Linked DNA regions of Sus scrofa. The protein of the gene in region 4 interacts with the protein of the main gene of each other region in a pairwise test. Links are inferred from orthologs where the notes say so. Each region holds a gene or a part of one and is shown on either strand. Other genes may lie near its edges.

Region 1 (4,885 bases), on a different chromosome or scaffold from region 4:
TGTCACTCAGGTCTCAATTTAAAATCTTACCTCCTGGGAGTTCCCGTCGTGGCGCAGTGGTTAACGAATCCGACTAGGAACCATGAGGTTGCGGGTTCAGTCCCTGCCCTTGCTCAGTGGGTTAAGGATCCGGCGTTGCCGTGAGCTGTGGTGTAGGTTGCAGACGCGGCTCGGATCCCACGTTGCTGTGGCTCTGGCGTAAGCCGGTGGCTACAGCTCCGATTCAACCCCTAGCCTGGGAACCTCCATATGCCGCGGGAGTGGCCCAAAAAATAGCAACAACAACAAAAAGACAAAAGACAAAAAAATAAATAAATAAATAAATAAATCTTACCTCCTCAGGGAGGCCTGACTGCCCAACCTAAATTGGATCCCTCAATCAATTTCTACCCTTTCTTTCACATTTATATTAAGTAGTTATTGATGTAAGTATTAAGTAGTTATTAATTGAATATATGATTGAATGATAAGTGAATGAAACTAGTCTTCTGTCTTTCATTATTCTGTGCCAGCCAGAGTCTTGGCCCCGCCTCTTCTTCCTCCCAGTAGAGCAAGAAGGCAGCTGGAGGGGGAAGGGTGGCTGTGCCTGGAACGGTGGCCTGGGCCCTGCAGGCTCCAGGGTGCTCTCCCAGGCAATTGATTAGCCTAATGGATCTCATTCCTGGCTGCACATTGGAAACACTTGTGGAGATTTTAAAATAACCGATGCCTCTGGATGCCTGAGGCTTCAACTCACACCAATTCAATTAGAATCTCTGGTGAAGGGCTTGTGGAATCAGTGTTTCTTGAAGCCCCTTAAGTCAGCACAAAGTGGAGCCTGGAGCCGAGATTGAGAGCCTGAGCACCTTGTCTTTAGGGAGATTGGTACAGAGCTGTGTGCCTGAGAGCAGCCCAAGGATCAGCACGAAGGGCAGGGGCTGTGTCTTAGCTCAGTAAATACCCACCCCCTAGCCTGACTAGGGTCAGTGCTTGCCCAAAACAGGGGCACCAAAAGGGCTGGGGGCCTTTTTCACCCACTCCCTTCAATCCCTGACTCCTGCAGTTCTCCCAGAGATGGTGCCTCTCAAAATCATTACATCGGCTTCCCTCCTTCCTTGGAACAGGCTTCATTCTGAGCTTTTATTATGATGATGGTGGTAATGGGGCCAGGAACAAGGGAGCTAGCAGGCCTGTCCTGGTGGATTTATGGTGGAAAGGGCACAGAGAAGCTGCTGCGGACAGAGGCAGACTGGAAGAGAAGAGGGAAGCAGGTGGGGCCACCTGCGCTGAGGAAGTGGGGCTGAGTCTTGGGAAAAGGGTGTGGGGGACGGGAGGAAAGAGCCCAGTGGAGGAGATTGAGAGAAAAGTTGGAGAACAAAGGGTTCTTAGAAGTTTTTGCTGCATTATGAATGCAATTCCTCTTTAAGTATATTCTCGAGAGGCAACAGTAAATGTTTATATAGCTTTTGCATTGTTTCTGGGTGCCAAACAATTTATTGTGTGATTCCTTGCCTAGGCTGTTTGGCTCTATCCCCAGAGGCCCCTCTCCTCTTCTCCTATAGCTCTTAGGTGCTCCTACTCCTCCTAGGTGCCCCTGGAGGTCAATAAGGGAGAGAACACTGCTTCTGAAGGGCTCCTCTCTGAGCCCCTTACTAAAAGGGGGGGCCAGATGTCCCACAGCCAGCATGCACAGATCCTGCTCCTGAGGGTTTGAGACTTCGAGGTCCCACCTTTTGCACCTTCTGCTCCAGGACCCTTCTCCTGGGGAGGCTCTCCCTAGGAGCCCCACCTTGGTATCCCTCCATTGGGGCCCTTCACTAAATTCCCAGAATATCCTGGGACAAAGCTGGAAAAATTAAGATAAACTTGATTACATTTAGAATTAAGGTCACCACAAGAGAAATCACCAGGAGGATGACGTGGCTCCCAGACTCACTCTTGCCTGCCTCTGGGGTCTGGCTGTCTTTCCCTCTACCCCGGGCCCTCCTCAGAGCCCACAGGGTGGAGTCTGAGCCCCGGAGCCCCAGGAGCTCCCTCTCCATCTGCCTCAGGCCTGTCATTTCTCCTGTCCCTCCTCTCCTGACCCTTTTCTGGGTGACTGACAGCTGAAGCCCCCAGCCCCTCCCCCTGGCCCTACTCTCTGGGCCCAGGGGGATATTCAGAAAGGGACTGTTTACCTTAAGGCACTCACCAGTGTTCAGGGAATGAGGCATCTTAGCAACCATCCACCTTGGCAGGTGGCTGAAGAAGATGAAGATGGTGGAGAAAATGAAGCTGAGAGTGATGATGGGGAGGGTAGCAGTATAGGGAAGCCGCTAGGACCAGAATGCTTGGTCCTAGCCCAGTTCTTCTGGACATGTATCCTTGAGCAAAACATTTACCCGCTCTATGCTTCATGGTCCCCATCCTTAAAAACCTATGCTAGTCTCTAATTCACAAGGCTATTGTGAGAATTACAAGAGGCATCAGAGAGCTACCAAGGCCTGGCACAAGGTAAGTGCTTAATGTTAACCATGACTAGTACCAATTATTGAATATAAAGTGATCAGCCCTGTGCTAAACTCTCTGCTTGCCTCCTGTGCTCACTTGGGTACTATTACTATCCTCATTTTTCTGATGCCCAGGAAGTGAGGTGTTTAGACTCAAACATGTCTCTCTGGCTCCAAAATCTGATCTCTTCATGATCTCAAGTACAGGATTAATTAGGGTAGGTTAATCACTATAACCAACAACCCCTAATCCCAGTGGCTTAACCTGTTAAAGGTATCATTTCTTATTCATATTATAGTCCAATTGGGTGTTTGGTAGCAGTTTTCCACCTGGTGATTCCAGAATCTGGGTTCCTTCCATCTAGAGCTCTATTCATTCTAGGGCCTTGGAATCCTTCCCTGGGACCATCTGCATTAACATGGGAGATGAGGGAAGTGAGCATGGAGGATGGAACAAGGTATTCCCAAGGCCAGGTCTGGAAGGGGCAGACTTCACACCTGCCCACATTCCTTTGGCCAGAAATCAGTGACATGGCCCCGTGTAACTGGGAGAGGAGGAGGAAGTTGCAGGAAGGAGAGAAACTGGGCACCCCACCTTGTTGCTTGTGGATGAATAGAGGCAGGTGGACATCCTGGGCCCATTTCTCCCAAAGTGGGACAGGGGGAGTGCAGGAAAGTCCCCACTCACAGCTTACCATGAAACAGCTGAAAGCATCCCTGGCTGGAAGGACTTCACTCCAGGACACAAGCCCGAGGCATCCTGTTTCTCTGGAAGTCCTGAGCTGGATCCGAGATGATTTCTCAGCATCAGAGAAGACTTTGTTTCCCTTTTCCCAGAAGGACATTTTCAGTGCTGAACTTATCCACACTGCAGGTCTGAAAAAGGGTGTCAGTCCCAGTTCTTGGTTGCCAGCAGCAGAGAATTAGGCAGAAGAAACATGTAATAAAGGATATTAGGTAGGTCACAGACTCTTTGGGCCAGAACCCAGACTTGGAAGCCACAAAGGCTGAAAACCCACTCCCGTCCTCCTCCTTTGACCTCTACTCCAAGTTCCTAGGCTGGGAACTTGGGGAAAATCTCTCAGGGAAAGATTCTCTTTCTGCCCTGTCTTGTTTGGCTTTTTACCACGCCCAACAGTCTGTCCTAGGACACACTGCCAGCTCCCCCAACCTCCCCCAGCTCAGAGGTGCTCACAGCTGCTGCCCACAGGCCCTCACTCTTCTGTGAAAGTGACACCCACCCAATCACCAATCCATCGCCCATTGATGGATCCATCCATCCACCCACTTACCCATCCCTCTCGGGGCTTCTGTTTCCATGGTTACTCCAGGGCCTGAGTCTGCTCTGGGTTTGCTGAAAGATTCTTCGCTCTAGGCTGTTTCCACAACATTTTTACTAGTGGACTCAAACTCTCGATGACTGATGGGGTCCCATCCTTCTAACAGTGCTCCCTACTTGCAGATCACACATGGCTTACATGTCAGTCCATCAAGGCAGTCAGCTTCCTGGATTTAAAATAAAGCAAAAGCTCTGCAGTATTTAAACAGAGAGGCACTCGGAAGTACCGTGTCTGGGAGGGGTGCCACAGGAGACCAAGTGGGAGTTCCCAGAGGTAAGTAGCGCTCCTTTATAATAATAACCAAAGCTAACATTTATTGGTCATTCACTATACACCAGGCATTCTTCCAAGGGTTTCATGCTATAAACTAGGTTAATCTTCGCAATGACCCTGTGGGGTATGAATTACGATTTTTTTGAGGTTAAGTAGGCACAGAAAGGTGGAATAACATGTTCACGGTTACAGAGCCAACCAGAGACAGAGCTGGGATTCAAAGCAAAACGGGCTGATTCTAGAGATTTGTTCTTACACACTTCATTCATGGCCTCTCTACAGCCTTTCTCCCCCACCCCACCCAGTGATTCCGGAAGTCTCCCTGATGCATTTTTTTGAGACAGTAAGGTGGGTTTCTGAACACCTCCCCAGTGCTCAGCTTGGCGCTGTGGGTGACAAACTCCCATCAAGTGACCTACTTGGTGTCAGCTTTTGGTTGCCCAGAGACCTGGGGCAGGGGTGGGGGCACAGCTGTTCTCAAGAGGAGCTCCCTGACCCCATCCACCCTGAACTGGTCTGTCTGTGGGCCCTACAGGTTTCCTCAGGTCATAGCCAAGCAGCAGTTGTCCTCAGAGACCTTCAGGAGGGTGGGAAGAAGCAATCCCATCAGAGAAACCCAGCTGAGGGAAGACACAAGATGTTCCCCACAAGTGACAGAAAACCAATTCACACTCTTCCCCGCAGCCAAAAAATTAAGCTAATTTTTCATCTCTTTGCTTACGTGCGACTCAACTAAACATAGGCCTCTAGGAATGCAAACAATGACTAGATATTCTTAATTTAGGGCAGCTTTAATTAAATCTT
Region 2 (4,854 bases), on a different chromosome or scaffold from region 4:
TGTTCCCCCAGTCCTGTGTGACTTCCCACGAGAGGACAAGGCCGCTCTGCCTCCCGTTAGCCCAGGGCTGTGCTGATGCTGACACAGCAACACCCCACCATCCATCTTTGCACCTTCACCCACTCAGTCCAGGGATATTGCTCTTGATGCGAGTCTGTTCAAAGCCCAGGTCAAAGCACTGTGTCAGCCCACTGGGCCACGAGGAACCCCAACACGCCGGGCCCTCAGAGGCCAACAGGAGGGCCTAGGGTTATGCTGGGTTTACATAAAGATGCTGGCCAGCAGGATGGTTACTCGCATCCCAAAAGGTCAGCTACGTTCCTCTGTAAAGGCACCTTACAAAGGGGTTCACAAGCTTGGCTGCAGCCTGCAAGCATGTGGAGGACAATTTTTAGGAACGGCTTTTCTGTTAGGGAAGGTGGGGAGGTATGGGGAGGCAGGGACCCCCTTCCATGGTCTCTGGAAGCCGGCCCCTGGCTACCTTTTCCAGCCAACCGATCCCCACATTCGGAATCCACCTGAGTGAGCCCAGTCTCCAGGGGGCGTCTCCATGGGGCAGGTGACAGGCAAACGTCTCTAGTTGAGAGATAAACTATTCAGCCCTCGCTTGAACCTCAGAACAGCACCCACTAGCGTCTCCCATAGAAAACTTACATAAGAAAATAGCTTTGTATTCTCTAATAACAGTAATAATCTTGAGAAGACATGCGTTAGAGCTAACGAGAAAGGGCAGTCAATTCAGAGCAGTGCTTTTAATTTCTGCTGATGCGAAGTGTGGTAGAAATAAATTGCTTAGGATTGATGAATAGAGTTTTAAAAGTTTTTTTCCTTTTTTTTTTTAAACCAGAAAAAAAATATTCTGCTCATTGTGGTTCAAGTGGAATCCGTTTATCCCCTGCACTAGCCAAATGTAATTGTTTCAAATGTCTCTCTTCTCAGGATCTGAATTTCTCCTGCTCGAACTCCCTTCTTCATGCCTTAAGGAACGTTGGTAGTTTTCTTTTCTACGCCCAAACGGACAAGGGGCACCTTCATTTCTATTTTAATATCACCTATTTCTACGGCAAACATTCAAAGTTGTTTCTGATGCTGGTTAGATGAAGATGAAATGAAGTGTCATCAGCTGGAGATTCAAGGGGCTGCATGTGGAGGTGCAGTGAAGTGGGAAGGGTTTCCAGGTCCTTCCTCAGACACGGTCCCCTAAACTGCGGGGCGGGGTTGGGACGGGAGCGAAGGGCGGGTGAGGGGACACTGCAGGGTTAGTGCATTGCTCTCCCCTCCTTGGTGCACCACGGACATTTTCCTCTATAAAAAACTTAGAGACAGATCCCCCCAGGTTCCCTTTTACTTAACAAGGCCCTCTTGCTTATGACAATTCCATTTTCATGCAGTAGGTGGGGGCAGGGTGGGAGAGGGCACCAGATCAGCGACAAGTCAACATTTGCCCCTGGGGTTGGGGGTTTGCGGAGGGCTCACCCTCAGAGGTCTCAGAGGCCCGTACCTGTGGTCCGATCACCAAAAAGACATTCTCCACAACCACCCGGCACACAGCAATAAGGCAATAATTCATCTGAAAATGTGTTCCAGCCACTTCCTGTCCTAGCCAGACTGGGCATCAGACCACCACTTCCCACTCTGGCTGCGGTGAGCATTTAGGGAATGGGCCCCTGAGGCCCAGGGGACCCACATGCCAGCACCAATACCCCGGGGCCTGGCAGTCTCCCCTCAGCAAGGAAAGTTGGCTGGCTCCAGGGTTTGTTATGGGCTCACCCCACAGGCTGCAGGTCTGCGCAGCAGCCGCTCCCTTTGGGCTCTGACCAAACATGCTGGCTGGTAGGAGGGGGGCCACAGATACACCGACCCCATGCTCACCCCACCGCCTGAGCCTGATTCGAATTGAAAAACGGAGCCACCTACCCCAGCCCCTAAATCAGCCAAGCCCCCAGCCAGTGTCTGCTGCACTGAACCGGGAAGTGGCCAGGGAAGGCGCAGACATGAGTCCAGCCAGGAGCCTGGCGCCAGGGCATCTGACACCGCAGAAGGGCTGTGCGCACCTGAAGTCTGGGAGCTAGATGCCCAAGCCAGGGCGTGCAAGGGGACCCCCAAAGAAAGGAAGGCGACCAGAGGACCCCTTCCTGCCTTGCTTCAAAAAAGCCAAGTGATCCCACTGGCAGCCTCCTCAAAGCAAGGCTGTAAGCGCCCACTCCACTGGAGTCTTTCGGAAAACGCATCGCGATCAAAGCCCTTCCCCAGGAAAAGTGCCCAGTTCTGCCCGTAATCCTCTCCCCGCACCTTGGAGAGGGCACAAGAAGAGGCAGAGATCTCACCGAGGGAAATCGAGACCAGAACTTGAACCCGAAAGCGCATCCACTCGGTCCCTCTCCGCGCAGTGGCTGGCGGCTCCCAGGGCGGCTGGCTGTCTCAGCTGCCAGGGACCAGACAGCCCGCCGACGCGAGGGGCTCCCGGAGTCCCCGCCCCCGCCGGGTCGCTGGTAGGGAGTCCCCATGCCCAGCGCGCTCTCAACATCGCCTTCCTTTTCCCCCTCTGCACGGCGAATAGAAGCCCGCTTCCTTTCCCGTCCATCTCGGTCCCCAGCTCCGCGGTGGCTCTGCTTACCAGCCCCAGCCGGTCTCCTCTGGGTCGCTCGAGGGGGTCTCCCGGGCCCGCGGAGCCAATGCCTGCCGCGCTCCTCCACCCCCGCCCCTCGGGCAGCGCCGCACCGCCGCGCTCCCGGGTCTCGGTCTTAGCAGCTCCCTCCGACTTCTCCAAGCCGTCCCTCCGCGCGTCCGGGGCGCCCGGAGTGGCGAGGCGCCAAGCTGCAGCCCAGGCTGCCAGCACCCGGTCCCTTCCTCCGCATCTTACCCGCCCGCTCCGCTCTCCCCGGCGCTTGGCGACCCCACGCCTCTCGGGTCCCGCCGCCCGGGCCACCCCGACTCACTCAGGCGCCGCGCCGCCGCCGGTCTTCGCGCTCCGAGGCGGAGCCAGGACGCTTCTCCGCGCGGGAGCCGCCGCCCGCTCGCCACCCGCCCCGCCGGCCCCTCTGCTGCCCGCGCTGCCGGGGCGGCAGGGACTTACCTCCCGGACAAGGTGACCCGCTGGTGCGCCCAGGCGGCTGCCGGCTCGTCTCTGGAGGGAGCGAGCGCGGGCGCGGGGAGGTGCGGCGCCCGCCTCTGCTCCCGGCTCCCTCCCCCGCCGCCCGGCCCTCCCCTCTGCTACCTCCGCGCCGCTCGGCCCTACGCTGGCCGCCCGCGCCCGCGGCTGCCCCGCGCTTACTGGAGCGCTGGGCGCGGGGCAGCGGCGCCGGCCGGGGCGGCTGGGGCTCCCTTGCAGCGGCGACGGGGTGGAGCCTGGCCCCCTGGGCTCTCGGGCGAGGAGGGTGCGGGAAGGCTCCTCGGCGCGCGCCCGGCCGGCGGGTGGGCGAGGGGCGCCCAGGCGCGCCGCTTGGCTCTCGAGCCTGGAGACACGCGTGCGGGAGGCGGCGGCCGAGGGCTCTGGGATGGCAGCGAGGAGGAGGAGGAGGGAACGTCCCCGCGCTGAGGCGGCGCCAACTTTGCCCCAGGCCGCCGGGCCCCGCTGGGGATCGCGTCTGGCAGGTGGCCCGGGGCTGGTGTTTGGGAATGTGGGTGACAGAGGCTGGGGGAAGGGGCGTCCGCTGGGGACTAGGAGGGCGGATTTGCCTCCCGGATCGGAGAAGAGATGGCTTCCCTCGGTCCTAAAGGCCTCCCCAGGCGCCAATTCTTGGATTTTTATTTTTTCTTTCTTTCTTTTTGGTTTTGTTTTTTGAGGTTCCTAAGGTCCTACTTTATAGGCCTGAGTCTTAACCAGCCAACCATCCAGGAGAAACCAGGCGCGGGGGCCCAGACGCTGGACCCCGCCCAGCGTCAAACAGGTCTGCTTTGCTCGCAGGGCTGGCCCTGGGCAGCCGGAATGAAGAGGAAACGTGGGCGGCGGGCGGTGGGGGCGGGCATTATCCTGGTGAGGAGAATGGGGAGCGGGGCGGAGCGAGGCAGGGCGCCTCCCAGATTTATTATTTTTTAAAATTTCAGACCTTGAGGGCTGCTGGGGAAGGGGTGTTTTCAGTTTGGATTTCATAAAGAACTGACTAAGAAACAAGTACCAGAAAGGGAGTCAAAAGTAATTTAGGAAAAGAATCTGTGAGTCCACTTCTGTCCCAGGCAGAGAGGTGCCAGGCGCCCCGGCCAGGCCGGCACTGGCTGCACCTGGGGGGCGGGGGCGGGGGCGAGGGGTCAAGGTCGGTTATAACCCTACTTGGTGCAGACCCTCCCCCTCCCCCACCCTTGCACACCCATCCCTGGCCCCTGAGGAGGCACCTCTTCCTCTGCTAGGCCCCGGGGTGGAGTTTGCTGAAGGCTGGAGTTGGAGGTGGTGCCAGAGCAGCAGGCGCTCCCTGAAGTTCCCTCTGTGGTCCTGGCTCCTGTGGGTGGGCAGCAGCCCAGAGAGAAGCTCAGGTCCCAGTGCACCTGGAAGGGGGCATGGGGGTGGAGGCTTGGAAGGAGCACCTCCTGTGCTCTGTCTTTACCCACCTGAGCACGGTCCCATCTCCCTCTTAGCAGCAGGGCAAAGCGCAGGCAGTTTCTCCCTCCAGATCCCAGAGCTAAGGCTGTGCCCTCCTGGGCCTGCTCAGATGGAAAGATATGTCAGCTGAGAACATAAACTTGCCACTGTTCCTGGATCCTCTCCTGCTCAGAGCATGCTCTCATCTGAACCACTCCGCTGAGCAGATGAACTCATTTGAGGTAGAGAATGGGTCTTTCCATTTATCAGATGAAGAAGCTGAGGATATCTGAAAAAGGTCACTTGCGGTTTCCCCAGCCCCCAAAGGACAGGAGCAG
Region 3 (4,846 bases), on a different chromosome or scaffold from region 4:
TTTTAATTTCGCCCTTAAGCTAGAAAACATAATATGGCAAAGACAATGCATGCCATATTTTAATAACAATAGTTTACCCCAGGGAGAATTAGTGTCACTGTGTGCTTTAGGAGCTACTTTTCTTTGATATATATTTTTTTTCTTTCATCAGCATCCTGATGCCATCTTGCTGACGTTGGTCAGGGGAAAGATTCTCTCCCAGAAGGCTGTCTCTTCCTTTCATTAGCGGGTGTAACCCAGTGTGTTCCCACCGGAGCCCTGTACGGAACGGAAGTGTAAACTTCCCGCGGGGGCCTCGTGTCCTCTCTGCTGGCTCAGAGAGCTGAGCCTAATGAAATAAAAAATACTAACTGTAACAAAGGATGCTGCCTCCAGGATGGCTCCTGTGCTTGTGGCTGGGCCCTGTTTTACTCGTCCCTGAGCCTCTCCGTCACCCCCACCCTCATCCCCGTGGGATCTCGGAGTTGAATCACAGATCTCCAAAGCGAATTACACCCCGACAAGTAACCCAAGTCCTCACCCTCGCCCACTCCCTTCCGCCGGGAGGGGAGCGCAGAATGATCACCAGGAGGCCAGGAACAAAACACTTAAATGTTGCATTTATTAGGTAAATGTTAAAAAAAAAAAGTCAAAACGGTGTCACGAATGTCAAGAGCACTTTTGTGGCGTAAACCGTGCAGTCACGAGCTATGAGTTCTATTCTGGGTCTTTGCCTGGGGGCCAACAGGAGTGCCAGCCCCCGCAAAAGACCTAGTGGGAAATGTGATAAAAGAAACAACTCACCGTGTTCACATTCGCAGGCTACCCCTCCCCCACCCCTTCTCCCAACACAAAACTCTAACCCGCAGGCAGGCAAACGGGCCACTAGGGCAGAAAAAAATACTTATCAAATATTTGTATTCAAGCAAACAAACACAAAATCCCTTAAAACAGCACGTTACAATCAATCAAAAGTATTTATCGCCTCTCCTGCCAGGGCTGGGAGGAGCGCGAGGGAATGGGCGCGAACCCGGACACGGATTTGTGTGTCCGCATTAGTTCTGTTGAGTGGCGTATATGGGTCAGTTTTCCGGTCACCAGGCAATCGGTGCCGCTGGTGTCTCCATGCCCGCCCTCTCCACCTGCCCCCAGAGCTTGGCCCACCTGCGGGTGGAAAGAGGCCTCGGCCGGGTTGGTCTCCCCGCATCCCGCGCTAGCGGCAGCTTCCAAAGTTCTGCGCCCTAATCGCTTTCTTTTTGACACTTGCTGCTGAGTCCAGTCAGGGCTCTCTCCTCCAGCCAGGCCTGGGGACTTTGGGAGGGCGAGCGAGAAACGTGTTGCTTCATTCCGAAAGGCAGAAGTCAACAGAAATAATTGACTCCCGACAGGTTTTCTTCTCCTAGTCTCGGATGGTGAGGGGGCGCGGCCGGGCTGGAGAAGTGGGGCGGCTGCCGCGGGGGTCGGGGACCGGTCAGTAGGGCCCCACGACCACTGCCTCCACCTCCTTAGACGGTCTCCGGTCCTTCACCAGGAAGTTGATCATGCCCTCGGACTTGATGAGGAGGTTGCAGCCAAGGAAGAAGATGCCAAAGACCACGGTGAGCGAGAGCACGCACATGACGGCGATCTGCACCACTCGCATGATGTACAGGCTGCGCTCGTCCGGGCCGCCCTCCGCGAAGCCGTCGTCGGTCACCACGGACGCCTGGGTGCAGCAGCGCACCGCGCGCTCCAGCGCCTCGCTGCTGTTGGCCAGGAACAGACCTGCCACATCAGTCTGGTTGCCCAGGGCTGGATTCATCGCGGGAGCGGGCGGGCGCCCGGGGAGGCGCGGGTCCGAGGGGTGGGAAGGCGGTGGCGCGGAAGAAACAGGTGAGCTGAGCGCTCACTTGCCGACTTGCGGGCGCGGGGGTTGTTCGCCCTCTCCTTTCCAAAGTCTCCGAGCCGTGGGAGTTCCCCCGGAGCCTTTGCGACGCGCGCCGCAGCCTGGCTAGTCTGAGCGGTCCGATCCTGCCCGGGAGACGCTCCTTCCCGGAGATGGCTCGACTGGGGGCTGTTGGAACTTGGCGGGGCTGGGCCAGCGGGGCCGTGGGAGGTGCGGACCGCGGCGGCAAGGCGGCTGCTCTGAGTGAACAGCGGCCCCTTCCGGCCGCGCCGCCGCTGTGCGCCCGCCGCGGTTGGACTGTAGGAGAAGCAAAGGGGTAAACCTCTTCTTGTAGCTTTCCTGCTTCGCTTCTGGTCCAGCTCCAAAGGCTAGGCTGAAGTCTCTGTAATTTTCTGGCTTGAAGGATGATTGAAGTTTCGGGTGGGGGAAGAGTTGCGACTGGCCGAAAGTTTCCTAAGAACTGGGTCACACCAGCTCAGCATGTCCTTTGCCTCCCGCCTCTCTCACCTCCGGGAGGTGGAAAGTAGCAATGAGTCGCAGATGCCAGATGCTGCTGGCAAATGCACGGACCCGCCGCCTGTGCCTGACTTTGTCTCGCTTGCGACAGATTTCTAGTGTAGTAGGGGTGTATTTTTTTAAAAAGCAACGATTTTAGGAAGAAAGAAAAGCAGGGAGGGAAGGAAGACGGGAAAGAAGAAAGGAAGAAAGGGAGGGAGAGAAGAAGCAATTGGAAGAGTAAGGCCGTTTTTATAGTGACTTTTGAGGGAAAGGAAAGGGAGTTAGGGGAAGGAAAGGTTCTTAGGTGGCCTTTGTGTAGAAGCGGTTGGCAGAAATAGGGTCACCTCTCTGGTAAGGGAGGGGGGAAGTGGACAGAATGGCCACCCTTGTAATCTTAATTGCCAATGAGTTTTTGGATGTACTTCCAGTGTTTTGCTCTGTTGGCAGTAAATCACTTGTTTAAGGGAATTGCTCATCAACATCCATTACTTAGAATACTGGCCAGCTGCTGGAAGCCCTCCCCATTTTCCGTAAGCTAATGTATTTCACCTTAGTCATTTAAACAAAATTGCAGATGTTCTAGGGGTCTGATTGAGGCTTCAGCCCATTGTGATTTTGCTTCTGGTTTCAGTGAAATGTTACAAACCTGTTAGCTTGTTTCTTGAGTTCTAGAAGAATACTTTAGAGTTTTTAAAATTTTTTTTCTACTTTTTTTCTTCTTCTTTCCCTTCCTTTTTCTTTCAAGTGTGGCAGCTGGAAATTTGAAGTAATTTGAAGTCTAGTCCAAACTTTTGATAGAATACCTTTATTATATTTCTATTAAAACAAAGTAGCTGCCTTGCCATTTTCAACCCTTTTTCTGAATTCTGTTATATTCTCTTGTTAAACGCTCTGATTTTTGTCTCCCCAAACATAATTAACTCCATTTTCACAGGTTTCAGTGTGTTTTTGTACTACTTTGTGAGCACAATAGAGTGAACTGCATTTTAGCAGAGAGTTTTCAACTTTTGGATGTTAATTTTTATGTCAGCTCTATTAAGTTTAGACCCTTCTAAATAGCTTTTTTAATTTTTTTTTTAATTTTGGGGGGGTGTTTAATAGCTCAAGACCCAGGCTTCTGGGCCTCATCCACAATTCACCTGGGTTATTGTTCTAGTTTCCCATGGTTATAATTGTCTTGAAGAATGCTTCTTTCCCGACAGTTGCTTCTTTGGATAAATTTATTATTTATTGATTAAAAAAAACTTATTTAAATATCACTCTATCGTCAGCCTTAGTTCATATGGGTGATACCTAACAGTAAAACAATACCTATGTGAGAAAATCATAGAATAATTTAAGATAATATAAGGCAATACTAAAATGAATGGTAGAGGCAAGTAGTAGGAGTTTGGAAAAGCAAAAGATGGAGAATAGAGGTCAACTTTAAGGGATATTAGCTTGTACAGGATTGTGTGTTTAATACAAGTTGGATATGGATGAGTAGAAAGAATACTCCCTTTTTATGTGACAGAAACAAGTAGAATTATAGTATATTTGTCAGGTCCAGTTACGAAAAGTTCCTAAGACTGCTAATTGAATCATTTCAGAATCTGAGCATATTTATTGATATTAACAATATTAATGTTTTAGTCAGAAGTCAGTGTAAACATGAGCAAAATTTGAAGTCCAGTGGAGGTTCTGTAATGTTAAACCTCTAGATTTGAGAAATACATTCTTAAAAGAAATTAGGTAATACTCTGACTTCATTTTCTTTCAGCTTTAACCACTAACAGCCACAAAATTATAGATAAGATAATGGTTATTCCCATCAGCTAGTTCATATCTCTGGGGAAGTGGTTTTGTTTCCTTGAGCCCTCTGCCCCAACCAGCCTGATTTTGTTGAATAAAATTTCTCAGAGTATTTAGATGGACATTAACTATAAAGTTAGTAGTACAAAACTCTCATTTATCACTCACTTATTACTGGATTTAAGGGGATTAAACTGCTAGAGCTTTTCAACAGAAATTGTCTTTCCCTTTTGTATTTTGAGGGAACATTTTTCTCTCAGCTTCACTCCTGTTATTCATCTATTTCCAAGAAAAATCTTAAGAGATGTGGCAAATAATACTCTAAAAATGTTTACGTAGAAAAACAGATGGCAATATGAAGTGGAGTAATTTACTGATAATTCACCTCAAAGAAAAGGATTTTGATACATACAACAATTCATTATTATTTTTAAATAACTACCTCTCCTACGTTATTGGAGAGAATGTTTGATTTCAACAAGTTAAATGCTCAGCATTTCACAATATACATATTACACAAGAAAGGAAACATTTTTCTGTTCTTTCCAGAAAATATATCTGTGGCATATAGTAAATTCTATAAAGATATTCCAGGGTGGAGTTCCCATTGTGGCGCAGTGGTTGACGAATCCGACTAGGAACCATGAGGTTGTGGGTTCGGTCCCTGCCCTTGCTCAGTGGGTTGACGATCCG
Region 4 (2,991 bases):
GGGAGGGAATCTTCCAGATGCTTCTTCACCAAATGACCTTGACCCTGCTCTCGGCAGAGCCCAAGCTGCAGCGGGATGTATGCGGGGCCGCACAGGGCTGGCAGGAGGCCCACACCTGCTCTCGGAAATACTGCAGGTCCCCGGGGAGTCAGGACAGGAGGAACCCGCTCATTGTACAGGCTCCACGCAAGAGCCAGAGAGGGCGGAGCAGGGGCGGAGCAGGCTCAAGGACTCTTTCTGACACACTCATGCACACACACACACACACACACACACACACACACTTGCCTGTGTTTATTTTATATCTAATGACTAACAGACTCTCTCACATTTGTAGATGGGGAAGCCTTGACACGTTTGGGGGCTTGAATAAGGTCCAGTTAGCCACTAAAGCCAAGGACAATGTAAAGATGGGATCTCTGCCCCCCTGAGAAATGTGAGTTTATCCCTGGGGCCCAGGGGGAGGGCAGAACTCTTCTGAAGGCCTCCTGCAGCCAGAACTCAAGCAGTGACACTTCTGCCCTCTCAGGCCAAGCCCCAATTCTCTACCCAGCAACGCCCCCCTGCCCTCCCCGTGCACGAGGGGCATGTTACAGGGCTGTGACACGAGGCGGAGGGGTGGGGGTGGGGGGGTCAAAGCCCCTCCTTGTGGGCCCCCATGCAACCTCCAGGGCTGAGTCAGAGCCTCAGCCAGTCTCAGGAGAAGCCCTCCTAGCCCCAGCCCGGCCTTAGTCTTGCTGAATGAGCCCAGGGCTGCGTTCCCCTTCCCTGGGACTCCATTTCCTCCTGAGCAAATGGCAACATTTCTGGTCCTGCCCAGGACATTTCCTCTGATTGAGTCCTTGCATCGCCTGACCTGGACAGGCTGCCGCAGAGTGGCTTCCCCACAGGCCAGAGCCTGCCCCCAAGGCGCACCCCCCACTCTGCCCCACAGGGATGAGGATGGTGCAGGAAGGGGCACCAGGGTCTTTGTCTGGATAGGCTGTCCCCACGTGAGTCCTGGGTGCAAGAAGCTCAGCCACCAGGGTTTGCTGCTATCACTAAACTTTTATTAAGAACATTCTCTGTGCAGAGCCCAATGCATGACATTGAAGAAAACAGGGACGACACAGCCAAGCCCCTGCCAAGGATGGAACAGAAGGGACACCGAGGGCCCCCAGGCAAGATGTGGCTCCAAGACGGTCACCGTGGAGCCCTGACAGGCAGGTAGGAAGCACCTACCCCTGGTGTTCCTGAGGCAATTGGATGCCACCCTCCTTGCCCTCCACGGGGGCTGCCTCTCAGCCCCCTCGGACCTTCCTCCACCTCCCAGCTGCTGCTGAAGGGTGGGGAGGAGACGGCAGGGGTGGCCGAGGGAAGGAAGGGGAGGAGGGGAGGGCTCCATGTGCAGGTGGCCTGCGTGAAGCATCACTGGCGCAGCCACAGCCAGAGGTTGGCAACGCAGACGGATACCAGCATGGTGAAGAAGAGGGTCTCCCTGTGGCGCCAGGTGGCGCCCTGGTCCTCCAGGGCCCGCAGCCGCCCGGTGATCACTTGCAGCTGCCAAGAGACCAGAGCTGGCAGGTGAGCAAGGCCATTCCGGGGAAGCCTGCGCACACCGGCGGGGGGAAGAAGTGTGACCTCAGAGCAGGAAGGGGGTCTGGACCAGAAGGAGGCCGGGCAGCTGAGGCCAGGGTGTAGGGTGGGCCCCGCCGCCTCGCCCCCACTTTGGGGACCTTCCTCTTGTCTGGAAGAAGCCAGCCCATCCCAGCTGTGCCACCGCAGAGTGAGGGCCATAGGATGAGGTGACACTTAGGGGCCAGAGAGGGGCTGCCAGGGAAGTTGTCCCCCAGGCCCGTGCCCCTGCCTGTTGGGGTCGCTTCCTGAGAAGACGCGGGCTTGGTCTGAAGGAAGGTGACCCCTCACTCAGATGTCTTGGCATGGCTCTTTCAGCACCAGTTTCTCCTGTGCCCCCATGTCCTCTCTTCCCCCCCCTCACGCCCCCCCTTCTTCCTTCCAGCATCTCGGGGAGAGACACAGGGTTGGGGCTGGGCATCAGGATAGATACGGGAGCCAAGGGGACTGGGGGGAGGGAAGGGCGACCTGGATGTCACCGTCACCTCCACCGCTAGAGGATAATGCGACTGGCAAGGCTGAGCATCGCCAAGGCGGGTGTCGAGGCCCCGCCTGCCCCAGGGCACTGGGCCTCGGCCTCCACCCTCCGCGTGGCTCCCCGGCAATCCGACGCTCACCTGTCTTCTCATGATTTCCATCTCCAGCCCGTTTAGCTCCTCCAGGCCAATCTCAGCGATCACGTCTGCCCCCAGGTTGCTGGGAAAAAAGACAAGAGTGAGAGTCAGAGCTCCTGGGAGACCCCCATCGATCGGGTCCTTCCCCCCCTGGTAAGCAGGTCCTGGGGCCTGAAGACTGGGAGCGGCCCAGTCGCAGGGGCCCCAAGCAAGCCAGGGGCCAGGAGGCAACGGAGCCCGAGCCCCGCTGGCACGGCCAGCTGCTCACGCTCCCCCCTGGCCAGCCTGCCTGCCAGCCCCTGTGGCCCAGCCTTGTCCCTGGGACCCTTCTTACCGCTCGTAAAGGAACCCCATGCCTTGGAAGCCGCCCTCCTGGTTTGGTTCTTGGGACGCTTTCTTTGGTGGCAGCTGGGGCCCCTAGAGAAAGGAACGGTCAGGCAGAGCAGCCTGGACAGAGGGCCCAGCGGAGCAGTTGCCCCGCACTCTGTCCAGGACCCACTGGAAGTGCTTGGGAACCCCACGAGGTGGCCGCCGGCCACACCCCGCATGGACCACGCTCCTCAAGAGCTCTTGGCCACCCAGGCTATGATGAAAGAAGAGCAGTGACGGTGTCCCTGCCCTCTGCCAGCACTGTCACATGCAGACACCGGCTGATCTGAGCAATGACTGAAGGAGAAAGAGGGAAAAGCCCCATTTCAAAACCAAGAAAACTGAGGCCTAGCGAGGTGACCACACTCCCTACGGACGCACAGTAAGAGCCGGG

The links. The genes of interacting proteins can lie anywhere in the genome.
Region 1: the proteins of FATE1 (region 4) and KCNS2 interact in binary tests that used the Homo sapiens proteins (3 or more experiments, as listed by UniProt). The two-hybrid records come from large-scale screens. The link is inferred for Sus scrofa from reciprocal best matches to the Homo sapiens genes FATE1 and KCNS2.
Region 2: the proteins of FATE1 (region 4) and SYNDIG1 interact in binary tests that used the Homo sapiens proteins (3 or more experiments, as listed by UniProt). The two-hybrid records come from large-scale screens. The link is inferred for Sus scrofa from reciprocal best matches to the Homo sapiens genes FATE1 and SYNDIG1.
Region 3: the proteins of FATE1 (region 4) and RPRM interact in binary tests that used the Homo sapiens proteins (3 or more experiments, as listed by UniProt). The two-hybrid records come from large-scale screens. The link is inferred for Sus scrofa from reciprocal best matches to the Homo sapiens genes FATE1 and RPRM.

Annotation. Positions count from the first base shown.
Region 1 is NC_010446.5:38,371,124-38,376,008, forward strand, and holds the start of KCNS2 (potassium voltage-gated channel subfamily S member 2), read right to left. Parts: upstream 3,293-4,885; 5' UTR 3,277-3,292; coding exon 3,164-3,276; intron 1-3,163. UniProt on the Homo sapiens protein: Potassium channel regulatory subunit that modulate the delayed rectifier voltage-gated potassium channel activity of KCNB1 and KCNB2 by altering their kinetics, expression levels, and shifting the half-inactivation potential to more polarized values.
Region 2 is NC_010459.5:30,620,060-30,624,913, reverse strand, and holds the start of SYNDIG1 (synapse differentiation-inducing gene protein 1), read right to left. Parts: upstream 3,293-4,854; 5' UTR 3,077-3,292; intron 2,873-3,076; exon of another isoform or gene 2,618-2,872; intron 2,442-2,617; exon of another isoform or gene 2,293-2,441; intron 1-2,292. UniProt on the Homo sapiens protein: May regulate AMPA receptor content at nascent synapses, and have a role in postsynaptic development and maturation.
Region 3 is NC_010457.5:61,140,106-61,144,951, forward strand, and holds RPRM (protein reprimo), read right to left. Parts: upstream 3,293-4,846; 5' UTR 1,781-3,292; coding exon 1,451-1,780; 3' UTR 582-1,450; downstream 1-581. UniProt on the Homo sapiens protein: May be involved in the regulation of p53-dependent G2 arrest of the cell cycle. Seems to induce cell cycle arrest by inhibiting CDK1 activity and nuclear translocation of the CDC2 cyclin B1 complex.
Region 4 is NC_010461.5:123,111,215-123,114,205, reverse strand, and holds the end of FATE1 (fetal and adult testis-expressed transcript protein homolog), read right to left. Parts: intron 2,646-2,991; coding exon 2,563-2,645; intron 2,311-2,562; coding exon 2,232-2,310; intron 1,540-2,231; coding exon 1,408-1,539; 3' UTR 1,028-1,407; downstream 1-1,027. UniProt on the Homo sapiens protein: Involved in the regulation of endoplasmic reticulum (ER)-mitochondria coupling. Negatively regulates the ER-mitochondria distance and Ca(2+) transfer from ER to mitochondria possibly implicating it in the regulation of apoptosis.